2 linked regions of the Tamandua tetradactyla genome follow. The protein of the gene in region 2 interacts with the protein of the main gene of each other region in a pairwise test. Links are inferred from orthologs where the notes say so. Each region holds a gene or a part of one and is shown on either strand. Other genes may lie near its edges.

Evidence for each region. The genes of interacting proteins can lie anywhere in the genome.
Region 1: the proteins of GLP1R (region 2) and SLC15A4 interact in a protein complementation assay, tested with the Homo sapiens proteins (2 studies listed by BioGRID). The link is inferred for Tamandua tetradactyla from reciprocal best matches to the Homo sapiens genes GLP1R and SLC15A4.

The regions. Positions count from the first base shown.
Region 1 is NC_135331.1:4,090,723-4,097,849, reverse strand, and holds the start of SLC15A4 (solute carrier family 15 member 4), read right to left. Parts: upstream 3,091-7,127; 5' UTR 3,015-3,090; coding exon 2,448-3,014; intron 1-2,447. UniProt on the Homo sapiens protein: Proton-coupled amino-acid transporter that mediates the transmembrane transport of L-histidine and some di- and tripeptides from inside the lysosome to the cytosol, and plays a key role in innate immune response.
Region 2 is NC_135331.1:96,428,898-96,436,436, reverse strand, and holds the start of GLP1R (glucagon-like peptide 1 receptor), read right to left. Parts: upstream 3,082-7,539; coding exon 3,056-3,081; intron 1,758-3,055; coding exon 1,618-1,757; intron 871-1,617; coding exon 763-870; intron 1-762.

The sequences.
Region 1 (7,127 bases), about 92 Mb from region 2:
AGTTGAAATAATAGTAAACACATATATACCCTATGCTTAGATCTTTAGCTCTCTTTTTCTGTGTATGTAAAATGCTTTCTACAACTGAGTCATTTAAAAAATAAATTGCAGCTTCATCACATTTCACTCTAAAAGACTCCATCATGTCTCTACTAAAAATAAGGGCCTCCTTCCACACAATCCCAACACCATCAGCACTCTGTGGAGCTGAACGTAAATACACCACTGTCTCCTTTGTGGTCTAGGCTAAAAATATGCCAATCGTCCCCCAAGAGTGTCTTATATGGCTTTAATTGTTGTGTCAATCTGGGAGCAAGTCATGGACCACATATCACATTTGGTCATCAAGAATCGTTAGAATCTTTAATCCAGAGTAGTCCATTTTTCCTGGTAAGGCTGTGACAATTGTGAATACACACATTAAACTTCACATCAAATGGATGCAGATGCTGGCAGTCACTCTCCAGCACCTCTACCTTCTCTGAAGAAGTCACCACTGGCCTCTCACCTCCCACCTCTAGGAGCAGCACTGACCCTGAAGGCAGATGGCCTGGTTCAACACCCACTCCCCACTCCCCACTGCGTGGCCCCGGGCAGTCAAATTCTAGAAGCCTCCGCTTCCAGTAACAGGGGGAACTAGAGTTTCTGCGTTCGAAGTGTTGTGAGGTTTAAATAAGACACTGTGGGAGGACACTCGGCTCACTGAGCGGCCTAAGACAGCCCCTCCTGCACACGACAGGGGCACGGCTCCGCTGTCAAAAGATGAAGACTGGCAGCGCTCAGCGCTGCACCCTTGCCAGTGGAGCCGGAGACAGGGCATCCTGGGGCCAGGGCCACAAACTGAGTCTGCAGAGCCCACAGATCTGCCCCTCCAGTTGCAGTGGTTACCCCACAGACTAACATATCAGAAGTGGCCAATGAAACCCTAGCTTGACCACTCACTACCTACAGGACAAGAAAGTTCTCTCATATCCTGTGCCTTTTTCCTTTTCTATATAACAGAGAGAAGATTCCACTGAGGTCAGATGAGATCAAGCACGGAAAGCCCATGCAAACAACAAGGGGGACATTCAATAGTCAGGCAAGGATTACCTGAATGCCCTTTGAAGGTCTCTCCCTGCTGTCTGCCCTGGAAATACACGGGCTGAGGAGAGCTCAGATTCAAAGGACAGGCCTTTGAACACCAGCTCAGGCACTTACCAACAGGCAGCTTTGGGCAAATTATTTAGCCCCTGCAGCCTCAGTCTCCAGGTCTGTAAATGGGCACACCCTCAGAACTCGGGCAGCATGATAAAGCCCTGAGTAGGGCCTGGCACACAGTACGCCTTAGAACGCCAGCCAGAGCCAGGCAATCACACAGTTATTTAGTGCAAAAACCTGGGAGCTTTTTTTTCTATTGCTCACACTCAACCCACCAGCAAGCTCAGCCCCTCCACCTCCACTTCTCACCCTCATCCCCGCACGGCCTCCATTCTGCAGCAGCCCTGCTCTCTTCACTTCCCTTAATCCTATTCTCTTTGCCAGATGCCAGCCAACATTTTTGTAAAGGGATAGAAGTGAATATTTTCGATTTTGCAAGATGTGGTCTCCTTCACAAGTAGTCAATGATAACACTGTATCGTGGGAGCAGCCAAAGTGTTGACAATAGTGGACAGGAGTGAGTGGGACTGTGTACCAATACACTTCATTTACACACAATGAAATCTGAATTTTAGATAATTTTCACGTCACAAAATAGTCTTTTGACTTTTTCAACCATTTAAAAACATAAGAACCATTCTTGTTCCAGGGTTCTACAAAAACAGGAAATAGATGAGATACTCAAATTCTTAACCAGGCCTTATGCCACCAGCCCTGCCTACCACTCCTCTCTCTTCCCACTTCTTCTCAGCTCATGTCTGGCAATATCTGGGGAGTCCTTTCTGCTCACCGGCTCAGGGTTTTGCACTTAGGGACCCCCCTGTGCCGGGAGCTCTTCCAACAACGGCGCCTGCACAGAGAGACCTTCCGGCTAGTGAAACCCCCTCCCATCTATCCTCCAGCCCTCCCTGAGTTGACTCCTGCCCCGCTCGACCACAGCCCGTCCTCCTAGTATTCTTGCACGCACGCTTTCGTGAGCTTTCTCCCGCCAAGACTGCGGCCCCCTGGTGAGCAGGGGGCCTGGTGCGGCGCCGGCCCGGAGGATTCAGCGGACGAGCGTCGCTCGGGGAGGGGACCGGGTGGGCAGGGGACATGGCGGGCCGGGGGCGCGCGTGGCGGACCAGGGGGGCAGGGGGCGTGGCGGGGTGGGGTCGCGCGTGGCGGACCAGGGGGGCAGGGGGCGTGGCGGGCTGGGGGCGCGCGCGGCGGACCGGGGGACAGGGGGCGTAGCGGACCGGGGGCGCGCGTGGCGGACCAGGAGGGCAGGGGGCGTGGCGGGCCGGGGGCGCGCGCGGCGGGCCGCTCACCTGGTCGGCGCCGAAGGGCGTGATGTTGGCCTTTACCGTGCCCACGCTGAGGCCCACGAGCACGAGCGCCGCGAAGGTGGTTGGCGCGCAATAGCGCGCGGCGGGCGGGCAGGCCGCGCGGGTGCCGGCGGGCGCCGAGCAGTTGAGCAGGAGCGCGGGGCGCAGGGGCCCGCAGAGGGCGGTGCGCGCAGCGGGAGTGGCCAGCCCCGGGAAGGCGAGCATGCCGAGCAGGTAGAGCGCCAGGCTGAGCAGGATGGCGCGCGCCTTGCCGAGCAGCGCGTCGGCCAGCCAGCCGCCGAAGGGCGACACGAGGTAGCTGACGCCCATGAAGAGCAGCAGGGCCTGGCTGGCCTGCGCGCCCTCCCAGCCCAGCGGCGCCCCGTTCAGGAACAGGACCAGGTCAGCCGTGACGCCGTAGAAGGCGGCGCGCTCCAGCAGCTCCGTCAGCAGCACGGCAGCGCAAGCCGCGCGCCGGCCCGCAAATGCCGAGGCCGCCCGCCGCGCCCCGCGCCCGCCCGCGCCCAGCAGCGGAGTCCGCTCGCCGCCAGAGCCCTCAACGTCCTCCATGGTCCGGCCGCCGCTGCCGCCCCACGCGCCGGCTTCCCCAGCCAGCCGCCGTGGCCCGCCTCTCGGCGTCGCCGTTGGGCGCGCTCGCCGTCTCTCAGCCCGCCGAGCGGCTTCCGGTTCCGCCCGGGTCCCCACCATATCCCGCCCCGCAACGGGCCGCCTCGATTCGCCATTGGGTCTGGTCGCCATCACGCACCAGCGGAACACTTTCAGTCCCGCCCCGGAAACCGACAAATCCACGGCTCTACTTCCGCGGTCTGGATGCGCTGAAGGCGCGAGGGCGCTGGCGGCGTTTTGGGATGATCGTCGAGTCTGGCACGCAGACGCTTCAAGTCCTCAGTGGACACCACGGGCAGCTAAAGCAAGCTCCGTACAAGGGCCTCGGGGCTCTGCCTGCACAGCGCCCGAATTTCCGCTGACCCAGCCTCGGTGGCTTTTTGCCGTCCTGGGAGGGATTTTCTCAAGCTCCGCACTGTTGACGTTTGGGGTCTGGTCCGTGTGTGTTGCAGGGCACTGGCCAGTGCGTTCGAAGCACCCCCGGCCTCCCTCCTACAAGATGCTCCACCCCGATCCCAGTTGCGGCCACCAGAAATGTCCCGGGACGCTGCCAGATGCCCCCCGGGGAGCAGACTCGCCCGGCGAGGACCCTGACCCCAAGGTCCAGGCTTTTCAGGCCATCGCGGAGACACTGTCCCCAAACCACCCGTCATCTCGCTGGCTGGCGCTCAGCTCAAACACTGCCACTTTATTCCCTCGCATTACCCAATTTTATTTATTCCATAACACCCATTGCATTTTTTCTCTTTATTCCGTCGTTCAGGCTCTCCGCTGGCAGGTATGTGTTCCCCAGGAGTGTAAAGAACACGGAGGTGGGTTCTTCACCATATTCCCGGAGTCTCGGACTGTAGCTGGCATGTGGAAAAATGTAGTTTAAGAGTGTCACCCAATAACATTACAGAAACTTACAATCTCCAGATGGATCTCTGGACCAGATAAGTCCTGAAACCTAGAGAACCAGCCTCTCCAGAACATCAGCTATTTCCATCTCCCTACCCCATGTTATCCACAGCCCCTTCCAACATGAAAAATTCTGAATGGTCATAACCCAAACTACCCCAAAGAGAGGTATGGAAAGATCACAGGTGATGGTGGAGTTACACAGAGAAGATAGGATTTAACAAATGAATAAGAATGCTGAATCATTAAATTGATATCTCCTTTAGTCTCCAGTATTTTAGTTCAGCTAGAAGTAAAAACCTAAAATTGTGAAACTGTCACCCATGTCAAAGTCTAAAATATGTTCTACAATTAATTGTGCTGCTGTGCTTTGAAATGTATTGCTTTTTTGTATATATGTTATCTATCAAAAAAAGGCAATTGTGATAAAAAAAATACTTATTCCTTCTAGCTTCCTATATTCTGGAGCAGCTAGAAGGAAAAATCTGAGCGGATGGTATTGAGATCTGTCTTGTAACCACTTGTTGAAGAGTGCTCTCAAAATTACTGCTTTTTTCTGTCTTTGGTATGTAAATATGTTATACTATAGAATAAAAAAAAGTTTTTTTAAAAAAAGTGTCACCCCAAAATGACCCCCAGCATGACTTCAGAAATTGGCATCTGCAGCTGCAATGATTTAAGGAGTCTGAGAGAACAACATCATTTCCCTTTTATTTTCTCCATCCTCACCTCCTGCTAAGACCCTGATGAAGCCATTACCTAAAGAACTGGGCTTCCCCACTGGTAATCTGGATAAGTAATCCTGCCAATAAGGCTTGAAATAGCATTATTATCTAGTTTTTGTATTATTTTAAGTGCCTGACATATGGATTAATGCCTTCCACAGTGCCAGCACACAGCAGGCAATAGTTTTAATAAAAAATTAATGTGAGAATAATTGAATGCCAGAACAGGGATCTCCCCCACCCCATCCTTCAATGCTAATGATTTTTTCAGTTCTCAGCTAAGCGCCACTTCCCAGATCCTCCCAGACTAGAGCAGATTTCCCCTTTCACACGTCTTTAATGCTCCCTATACTTTTTTCACACCACTCATTATAATTTATAATTATTTTGTGAAACTATTTGCTTAACCTTGGTCTTCCCCAACAAGTATGAAACCTAGCAGTGTTTGGAAATTGTTTTGTTTGCCACCACTATACCCTCAAAATCTAGCACAGAAGGTGCAAATAGTATATATCTGTGGAATTAACTAAATGAATGAATGAACATCTGTTGAAAAGTGTTCTAAGAAGAACATCTTACGTTCACCCTTCTCTTTTATTGTTTATTATTATTATTATTATTTGGAGATTCCCTGTGATGTTTTAGGGCATTTATTAGTATCCTGGTTTCACCAATGACAACGCACACTCCTCAATATTCTGACCAGGGACACATATCTAGGAAGAGACAGGACTCAGACTTCAATAAATGGGTTGTAATGAATTAACTGCTTCCACACTGCAGCTGGTAGATGAGACCGAACCTTTGACTTTATGTTCTTAGACTAACAGAACTGACTCACTCCAGCAAAGGCCAGAATAAAATTAACACTAAACATGGAACGAAAGCAAAGCCATTAGATTTGGATCATCTGCGATGACTTCATGTCAAAACACTGCCCAATACGGATGGGCCATTTTGGTTCACAAACGAGCCCAATTTGATCATTTCACTTGTAAAGTATGAATAATGCTCAGTGAAAAAATAAGCAGGAGGGTGCATGGGTGGTTCCGTGGTAGAATGCTTGCCTTCCATGTGGGAGACCCGGGTTTGATTCCTGGACCAGGCACCCCCACCCCCACGACCCCCCAAAAAAGCAAGGAGTTCAGAATGTGTACCAGGAATACTGGCAGCACTTGGTCTCAAAAAGGCTGTATGTGGCAGATTCTGATATCTTGAGATTGCAAAAAAAAAGAAAAAGTCCAGCATGCAGAAATATTTTACTTTGGTTGTAGTACTTTAAGAAAGTGAGGCAAGACCCCATATTATATGGTTCCATTTATATGAAATGTCCAGAATAGGCAAATCTGTAGGGACAGATAAGCAGATTCACAATTGGGGTTGGGGGAGTGGAGGGAAGGAAGGTCACTGCTTCCATTTTTGGTACAATGCAAATGTTCTAAAATTGATTGCGGTCAACCCTTTCCAACATGAAAAAGTTAGAATGGGTATAGTCCAAATACCACTTTCTCTCCACATGGAATGAAAGATCAAAGGTGACGGAGTTATACAGAGAAGGTCGGGTTTAACAAACGAGTATGAGTGCTGAATCATTATACTGACACTTCTTTTAGCCTCCAGTACCTTTGAGCAGCTAGAAATAAAAGCCTAAAATTACGGAATTGTAAACCCATACCAAACTCTGAAATCTGTTCTACAACTAATTATTTTGTGATACACTTTGAAAATTTATTGCTTTTATGTATATAAGTTATTTAAAATAAAGAGGAGGAGAATAACAAAGATAGATAGGATTTAACAAATGAGTATGACTGCTGATCATTATACTGATATTTCTGTTGGTCTCCAGTGTCTTGGAGCAGCTAGAAGAACAAAGAAAAATCATGGACCTTTAACCCATACCAAACTTTAAAATCTGTCCTATGATTACTTGTGAAAATGTGCTGGGAAATTTATTGCTTTTTTATATATATATTTCACAATTAAAAAAATAGCATTAAGAAAACATACTCTTTAGGAGAGGGTATGAAAGAACTTGTGTTCACTTAATTTAACAAGAGGAAGTATTAAGAAGCTTTACATTTTCTAGCCTAATGGGAAAAATATATCAAGTTGATATAAACTTAAAAAAATATTGATTGTGGTGATGATGGCACAACTCTGTAAATATACTAAAAACTATTGCTTTGTAGAATTTTATGTGGGTGAGCTGTATGGTATATGAATTAAATCGCAATAAAACTCTTACCAAAAAAAAAAAAAAAGAGAGAAAAAGAGCTAACTTAAAATTTGGAATGCCCTGCTGCTCTCGAAAAAATCTGGAAGCTTTGGCCACACTGGAGCCTGTACACTAGTGCCTATCTCCATAATCACACGGAACTGCAGAACTGTCAGCAAACAAAATGGTTGTTATTTTTAATTTCCTAAGTTC
Region 2 (7,539 bases):
CATCTCCCCTCCCCCGAGGCCGCGAGTTCCTTAAGGCGAGAGAGCTTGTCTCCTATGAACCCCCTTGGTGCCAGGCGGGGCCTGGGTCCAGCATGAGAGCCTGGGGTAGACGGGCAGGGCTCTGGGGAGCACAGCAAGTGCCGCTCCAGTCAGGGGTCCCCCCGCAGCCTCTGGGGGTCTCTGTACCCCATCAGACCTCCCACCTGGCAACCACACCGTTCCCAGCACAGGATCTCTGGCCTCTGCTGCTAGGCAGGACAGATGTGGGGAGGGCCTGAGGGGTGGCCTCATTATCACCTGACTGCTGCGCCCATCGGAGTGGCTGGGCACCTCCACCAGGTACGAGCATCCATGTACGCAGATCCTGCACACGCCGGACACACGGGCACATGTGCACGTTGGAGCAAGGACATCCCCGTGGGCCCTTCCTCCCAAGCATCTGTCCCCACCTGTTCCCTTTCCTTGACTACTTGACGGGAGGGACGGCCATAATTCTCTCTTAGGTCAGCAACCTCCAGACACCCCCCGACACACACACACACACACACACACACACACACGCATGCCCACACACCCACCAGCACAGGTCCTGACCGGCCTGATCCCCCCACCGCCTGCCCTCCCTTCTCCCCCCAAGGACAGGCAGGCAGACCCCCCCCAGAAGGCCTGAAGACGTCACGGGGTGCCTCACAGGAAAAGAAGCAGACCCACATCTCCAGCCTCCCGCATGCAGGAGAGAGGTGGGGTGTGGGGGGGACTCACCGCTGCTGGCCCAGGGGAGGTACCAGGGGCAGCTGACGTTCACGAAGGAGCCGGGAGGCCCGTCGGGCCAGCACGCGTAGTCATCGAAGGTCCGGTTGCAGAACAGGCCTGGGTGAAGGGGGGCCATCTGTGAGTTTCCGCCGGGCTGGGGCACTCCCCACTGCCACGGCGGAGGCCGCTGGGGGACAAGACAGAAGCCTGCACTGGGCGAACCTCTGCCGAGTGCTTTCCTGCATGCCAAGCACCTTCGCGGCCCAGCAGGAGCCAAACAGGCAGACTCCGCCGCTACCTGGTGGGGCCTCTTGCAGGTTCCTTCATGCCCTTGAATTTTTCTGTTTCCTCATCTGTAAAATGGGCTGCATGGGGCTTTGCGGGGTAAACGTTGCATGTTACTCAGATATCTGAGCATAAGGAGTGCTCGATAAATGATCCTTATGGACCCATTTTTCAATAACACTTCCAAAATGAGGGGGGAACATAAGCGCATGCTAGGAATGCTGAGGAGGACACAAAGCTGGGCATGGGTGGGGGGGGGGGGGGGAAGGGGAGGGAAGAAGATAGCAACTCCCAAAGCTGGCAACAGGGCAAATGGGTAAGAGCCAAAAGACAACAGAAATTCGTTGGGGAAATTTTTCTGTAGGAAGTAAGTCCTTGGGCCGGACCTGTCATTTTTCAGTAGGTTGATGTGGGGCAGGAAGGTATTTCCAGGTGAGGGGACAGGTGGGACAAAGTAATGGAAGCATGGGGGAAGGTTTTCAGAGAGGCATGGCATCCGAGAGAGACAGATGACACCATCCATGAATCTTGGGGGGTTTCAAAGCCTCTCAGGAGTTGGGGGTCCCCACCTGGACTCACCTGTGGCCGGGGGTGGAGCCTCACTCAGGAAGCGCTGGCACTGGCGCCGGTATTCTCTCCATTTCTGCACTGTCTCTGAGAGGGACACAGTGGCACCCTGGGGGAAGGGCAGAAATGGGGCCTTATGTGTCCAGCCTGCCCTTCCCTTATCCACCCCACCCTCACCCCAAATACTTGGTTTCTTTATCTCCAGGGGTCCTCAGAGCCCTAAGTCGACCAGACTTGGGGCATCTCTGAAAGGAAGGAGAGAACCAGTTGCCTCCACAGAAGCTCCAGGCAGATATTTTTACATCTTTGTTCCTCCCAGGGGACCAGAACACAGCTTGATATGTAGTAGGTACCCAGCATGTGTCTACTGAATTGATGGTTTCTGGGGCAGGGGCAAAGAGCGAGGGGAGACTGTCTATTCCTGGTCTCAGCAGACCTCCGCTAGGAGAGAGACTCCCTGAGGGCCCTGGGCTCTGCTATTGCATGAATTCCTTTTCTTCCAGTGCCCAGTCAGCCTGCCTGGGAGGTTGCTGCACTTTTAGCCATTGCAGAGGAGATGCACAGGCCCAGAGTTGGAAAGAACTCAATCAAGGTCACACAGCACTACAGGGAGCTAAGACTCAGAGTTCCCTAGATCGGTGAATATGATAGAATTATGAATTTGGAGGTTGTGGGATGTGGTGGGATCTATGCTACAGAGGCTGGAAAGTCTACCCTTAACACCCCTCCTGCAGAATGCAGTCTTGTCACCTGAGAGGGCATCATGACCTCCAGAGTTCCTGCCTGGCACAGCGGCACAGATCAAATGTTCAGCCTGGCTTCTATTAAGCACAGGGAGGAGCCCTGGGGCCCAGGGGCAGAGGGGTCAGAAAGGTTCCAGAACGCTGAGGGCAGGCCTCAATGGAAGGCGCTCCCCTGCCTGTGGGTAGGGGGATGTGAGCCTCATTTCTCAGATAAGGTAAGAATTGGCTTTTTAGCACCCAAGCCCAAACAAACCCGGCAGAGTAGGAATTGTCCCTTCGGAACATTTTTCTGCATTTGGCAAAGATATGTCTTGGGACTGTAATTCGTCTCTTCTTTTCTTCTGAACAGCCTTAAAGAACATAAATATTTCTCATTTAGAGGCTGCAGGTGCTGAAGTGAACATGGGAGCACTTACAGATATCATTTAGGGCCTGTATGTCATTTAAAACAATCACTTTTTGAAATCACAAAAATTTGCGTGTGTGTGGAAATGAAGATAGCTTCTTTTTAGAAGTTTGTACCCTTGACTTGGGGTGCTCTGGGTAACCCTGCCTGGTGGAAGCTGATTCCTGGTTTCTGAGACACCATCCCTCCTGCCTCCCTCAGCAATACAAAAGGAAAAAGAACACGGGGTGGGATTTCTCCTGTCCTCATCCCTAGCTGCACAGGAAGCTCCAAGAGGAGGCCAAGTTTGTGTCCAGCTGACCTTGGAGCGAGTTTGCCGAGGGCCATGGTAGGGCCTACTCTTCTAGGAAAAGATCAAGTGTATTTGATTCAGGGGAAAATCAAAGGACTCAAGGCAGAGCTATGATTTTAGCCATAGCTGATGGGGCCACACGGTTTTCACAAGAGCCTGTCCCGGTCAATCAACCCTGCCTCCTTCCTTTCCTCCTCTCCTCTCCCCTCTGTGTCCTGGTGAAGGTCTCCTCCTTCTTGCCCCTGAAAGCAGCAGCTGTTGGTGGTGGAGGGCCGAGAGACAGACAGAAATTCCCCTCGATCTCTGTTTCTACTGAGGAAAGCAGGCTGGAAGCAAGGTCACTGCTGGGAACTGGGACAGAAGGTGAGCTGGGGCAGGGGGCGGGGCAAGGAAGTCCAGGGAACCAGACCTCCTATGGCTTGAGAGGGAGGTGGCACCGCGGAGGCCACCCACACTCAGGGAGCATCAAGACCGAGGCAGCCCTGTCACCCTGTTCCTGGCAGAGCTGCGGGCATGAAACCATCCTCATACTGGGGCTCCCCGAGGGCCAGTGTCCTGTCCCTGCACCAGCTCAGAGCCGCCAAATACTGTTTATTGACTCCCCCAGCCTCCGGCCCCTGGCACGAGCTACCCAGACCTCTGGCCTCTCCGCTGACTGGAGGTTTTGGAAGCCTTGACAGTGTCAGGCCCAAGGCAGGGTCACAGGATGGACAAGCCCTGGGGGTGAGGGTCAAATGCTTTCCAAGCCTGGGGGAGTCTGGGGGTTGGGAGTGGAGGGGGGGCAGGAGGATGCAGCGAACGTCCGGAGGTGGGAGCATCGAGGCTCTGGCAAGCAGGACCTAGGTCAGATGCAGGTGAGGGAGGCTGGGGGCTGCCCAGTGCCAGCAGGTCCCAGGGCCTGATCTCAGCTCCCCCATATGCTGTGACCTTGAGCAAGACTTTTAACTTCTTCCAGTCTCAGCCAACACATCTGTGAAATGGGGATAATACTGGTCCCACCCCCACAGGGCTGCTGTGAAGGGTAAGTGAGCTGATGCACAGAACAGCCCCTCGCACATGGAAAATGCTGTCAGTGGCAGCCTTTCTCAAGGTATCTGCTGTTTAAGGCGAGGGCAGAGTGGAACAGGTTGCTCCGGCTTGCTGGGGAGTCTGGACCCCATTCCACCCTCACTTCTAAGACCAAAAAACTCTCAGAAGGAAAAAACTAATTTTTTTTGTGCCCAAGGACCAATCATGCTGCCTCATTTGTGATCTCTTCTAGCAGGGATCCCAGCCACTGGCAAGGTAGAGTGGGAGGGCCCTGGCCGTAGGCAAGACGGTGAAGAGAGAAGACCCTATCCACCAGTTATGGCCCCCTTTCATCCTCCCTTGAGGTGGGGTTGGGGGTACTGGGTGATGGGGAGGCATGATGGTGGAGGCCCCCTGTCCCTCCCAGGACAGCAGAGCTGGCCCAGAGAACAGAGCAGGGACGGGGTGGGGACCTGTGGGGCCAGGGCCGAAGCAGATTGGAAGATTTTAGAATCAGGACTTGCCAGCTTCATGGGATTTCTCAGAGTTAGATGAAGGCAACCGGGGACTTGGACTGGAGGGAGCGTCTCTCAGGCTCAGGAGCTTTAAGAGAAGGCAACAGGGGAGAGAGAAGAAGCCAAGAGGGAGTGGAGCAGTGTATGCGTATACAGCACTGGACAGAGAGGCACATGTCCTTCATTCAAATCCCTGCTCTGCCCGTTAATGTGACCTATGGGGCACACTTTGTATTTTGGGGCCTCAGTTTCCCCATCTGCAAAATGGGCATGTCATTATTTTCAGAGCATTACTGCATGCACCCAAAAAGATAAAGTAAGTGAAAATCTCCAGGATTAGCAGTTTCTGCACAAGTGGGCAGTGAAGAGGAGAAGGGGAAGGATGCCAGAGTGGAAGCTTTACAACACTCTCCTAACACTGGCTGCTAACCTGAAAAATTCCTCCTACAGTTTTACTTTTCTGAGAGCTGTTCTGGTTGAGGGGAAGGAGGAAAGAAACTTCTACCTCTCTAGGCCACCGAGGTAGGCGAAATGGAAGGGAGCAAGACAGTTCCAAAGACAAACTCTTGGGACCTCCCACTTTGGCTGAGCCCTGCAGGCTTCCCAGCATCTCCTCCCAGGGCCCCTAGCCTGCTTCCTCTCTGCCCACCTCACAGAGCCCAAACAGGCCTTCCAGCAGGGTCTGCGCCCTGCACCCCAGGGGGTGGGGCTGCCAGGTCCCGGCCTCTTCCATCCCATTTAAAAAAAATGGTTTTAGATATCTGAGCAGAGGTCAGGAAAAGGAAAATGGCACACACACTCTCACATGCAGACAAGCTCTCACACAGATACACTGCCACACACACTGGTGCACATGCCGCCAAGCACACTCTTAGAAACTAAGATGCTGACACAACTTGTCTCTCTCACCCACACGGACACACACAGACTGCCAGACACATGCTCAGAGGCTGCCCCCCCCCACCTCTTGACTGACACACTCAGCCCACACTGTCCCACACATGCATACAAACAGCCACATGGACACCATGTCACAAGCATATTCCCTCGCACACAAGGACACATACTGTCAGACACCCATTCACACACCGAGACAACTCACACACACGCTGACACACAGAGAGCCTCCAGTAGACACCGCATCACACACAGGGTCACACATACATCAGGCTCCCAGTCACATGCTGGGACGGTTCCCACGCAGTAACCCCACCCCACCCCAGGCAGACTAGCCCACACAGGGTCACGTACAGAGACACAGGGACTCAGGGTCTCATAGGGCCACACCTCCCTGTGCCCCCACCCTCTCTTCCTATCTACCTGTCTCTTTCTCTGCATCTCTGGCTCTCTCTCCCCCCTCACATGTACACGTACACACCGAGGCAGGGGTCTGCCTGGGGCAGGCTGCAACTAAGGAAGGGCCTGGTGTTCCTCAGTGCAAGGCCTTCGAGGGCAGGATGTGGTTTCTTGGTGGCTCCGGCCCTGGCCCCCACCCTGGGTCCATGTCCGGGAGGGAGCCCTGCTCAGGACAAAGTCCACCCTGACGGCTGCATGGCGCTGGGCTCCATCTGCTATGCTGACCCGCTGCAGAGCACGGCAGCCCCACGCCGGCTCCCACCCAGAATGCTTCCAGATTCCTGAGGACAAACAGGTCAGTTCCCCGAGTGACTAAAGCTGCTATTTCAGGGAGTCAGTGTCTCAGTCCTGTCTATAACTCCATGTGGTAGAGCATATGATCCCTACTTACAGGTGAGGACACCGAGGGTTGGGATGGTGAAATGTCCTACCCAAGATCACCAGCTAATAGCAGACCGGGTCTCTGAACCCAGTTCTGTCTGGTCCTAACTTTGGATGTCAGAAGTTTGCCTATCTCCTTAAGAGACCAGCTCCCTCACAGGGGTCTTGAGGGCTTAAGGGACAGAAAAGAGGATAGCGCTTCTCACCAACAATGAAGGGGTGATGTAGGCCACGCTCCTCAGAGGTCAATTGGGCCATCTCCCTGCCTCCGAGGAAGCTGCTTCCAGCCTCTCCAGACCTGACAGCAAGCAGCTCACTTGAAGCATTCCTCTTTCAGTCCCACCTGAGCAAGAGGTATTATGCCAAGAGGCCAGCCCCACATCCCTTTCTCCTCTCTGCTCCCAAATTGCTTCTTCTGAGCTTTCCGTCCTCTCAGCAACATGCAAGAAGTACACCTCATGGACAGAGAATGAAAAGCAAAACACCCTGACAATTTTAAGCCTTATACATAAGCCTGAGGTTCTGTCATAATCACTGCAGTCTAACCTCAAATCCACCTGCCACTCAGATCTCTGGGATGGCCATGGATGCCCAGTGCTCCACAAATTAGCAGCCCCCAACGTTCCCCTGCTCGGACACCGTCTCCTCCTGCCCTTTCCTGCAGCCTCAGCCCTGCTATGGCCCTAGGACACTCAGTTTTTGCCCTAGACTAGGGCTGAAGAACGGGGGGGGATCAGAGTCAGGACTCTGACTCTCTGGGAAAAGGGATTTGGGGAGGAAGACAGGCTGCCCAGAGAACCCTTTCCTCTTTTCTTAATCCAAACCGAATCTCCAAACGTGTCTCCAGTCCAGGACCCAAGCACACCAGCTCCAGACAGAAGCCAAGGCCTGCCCGGAGGGTGGGAGGAAGGTGCGAGGGGAGGGAGAGCGTCTCTCCCGGATCTAGGGGCAGTGGCTAGGCTGGGAGACAGAGATAGGGAGGGAATGAGTCTGGAAAAGAATCTGGGGGCTGAAAATGTGTTGGCACCTTAGCTGAGAGGCACATCTATCCACATCTGTATTGTCAACCACGGGTGGTGGGCCCCAGTCAGAACCAAACCAATGGTCCCTTATCTTGCCTCCTACCTAATCTGGGACAAATTTCAAGGCCTCTATAGGCCCACTTGCCAAAGATCTAAATTCTTCAGGTCTGGGGGGTGGGAGGGTGGGAATGATGGAAGAGACATTTCCCTA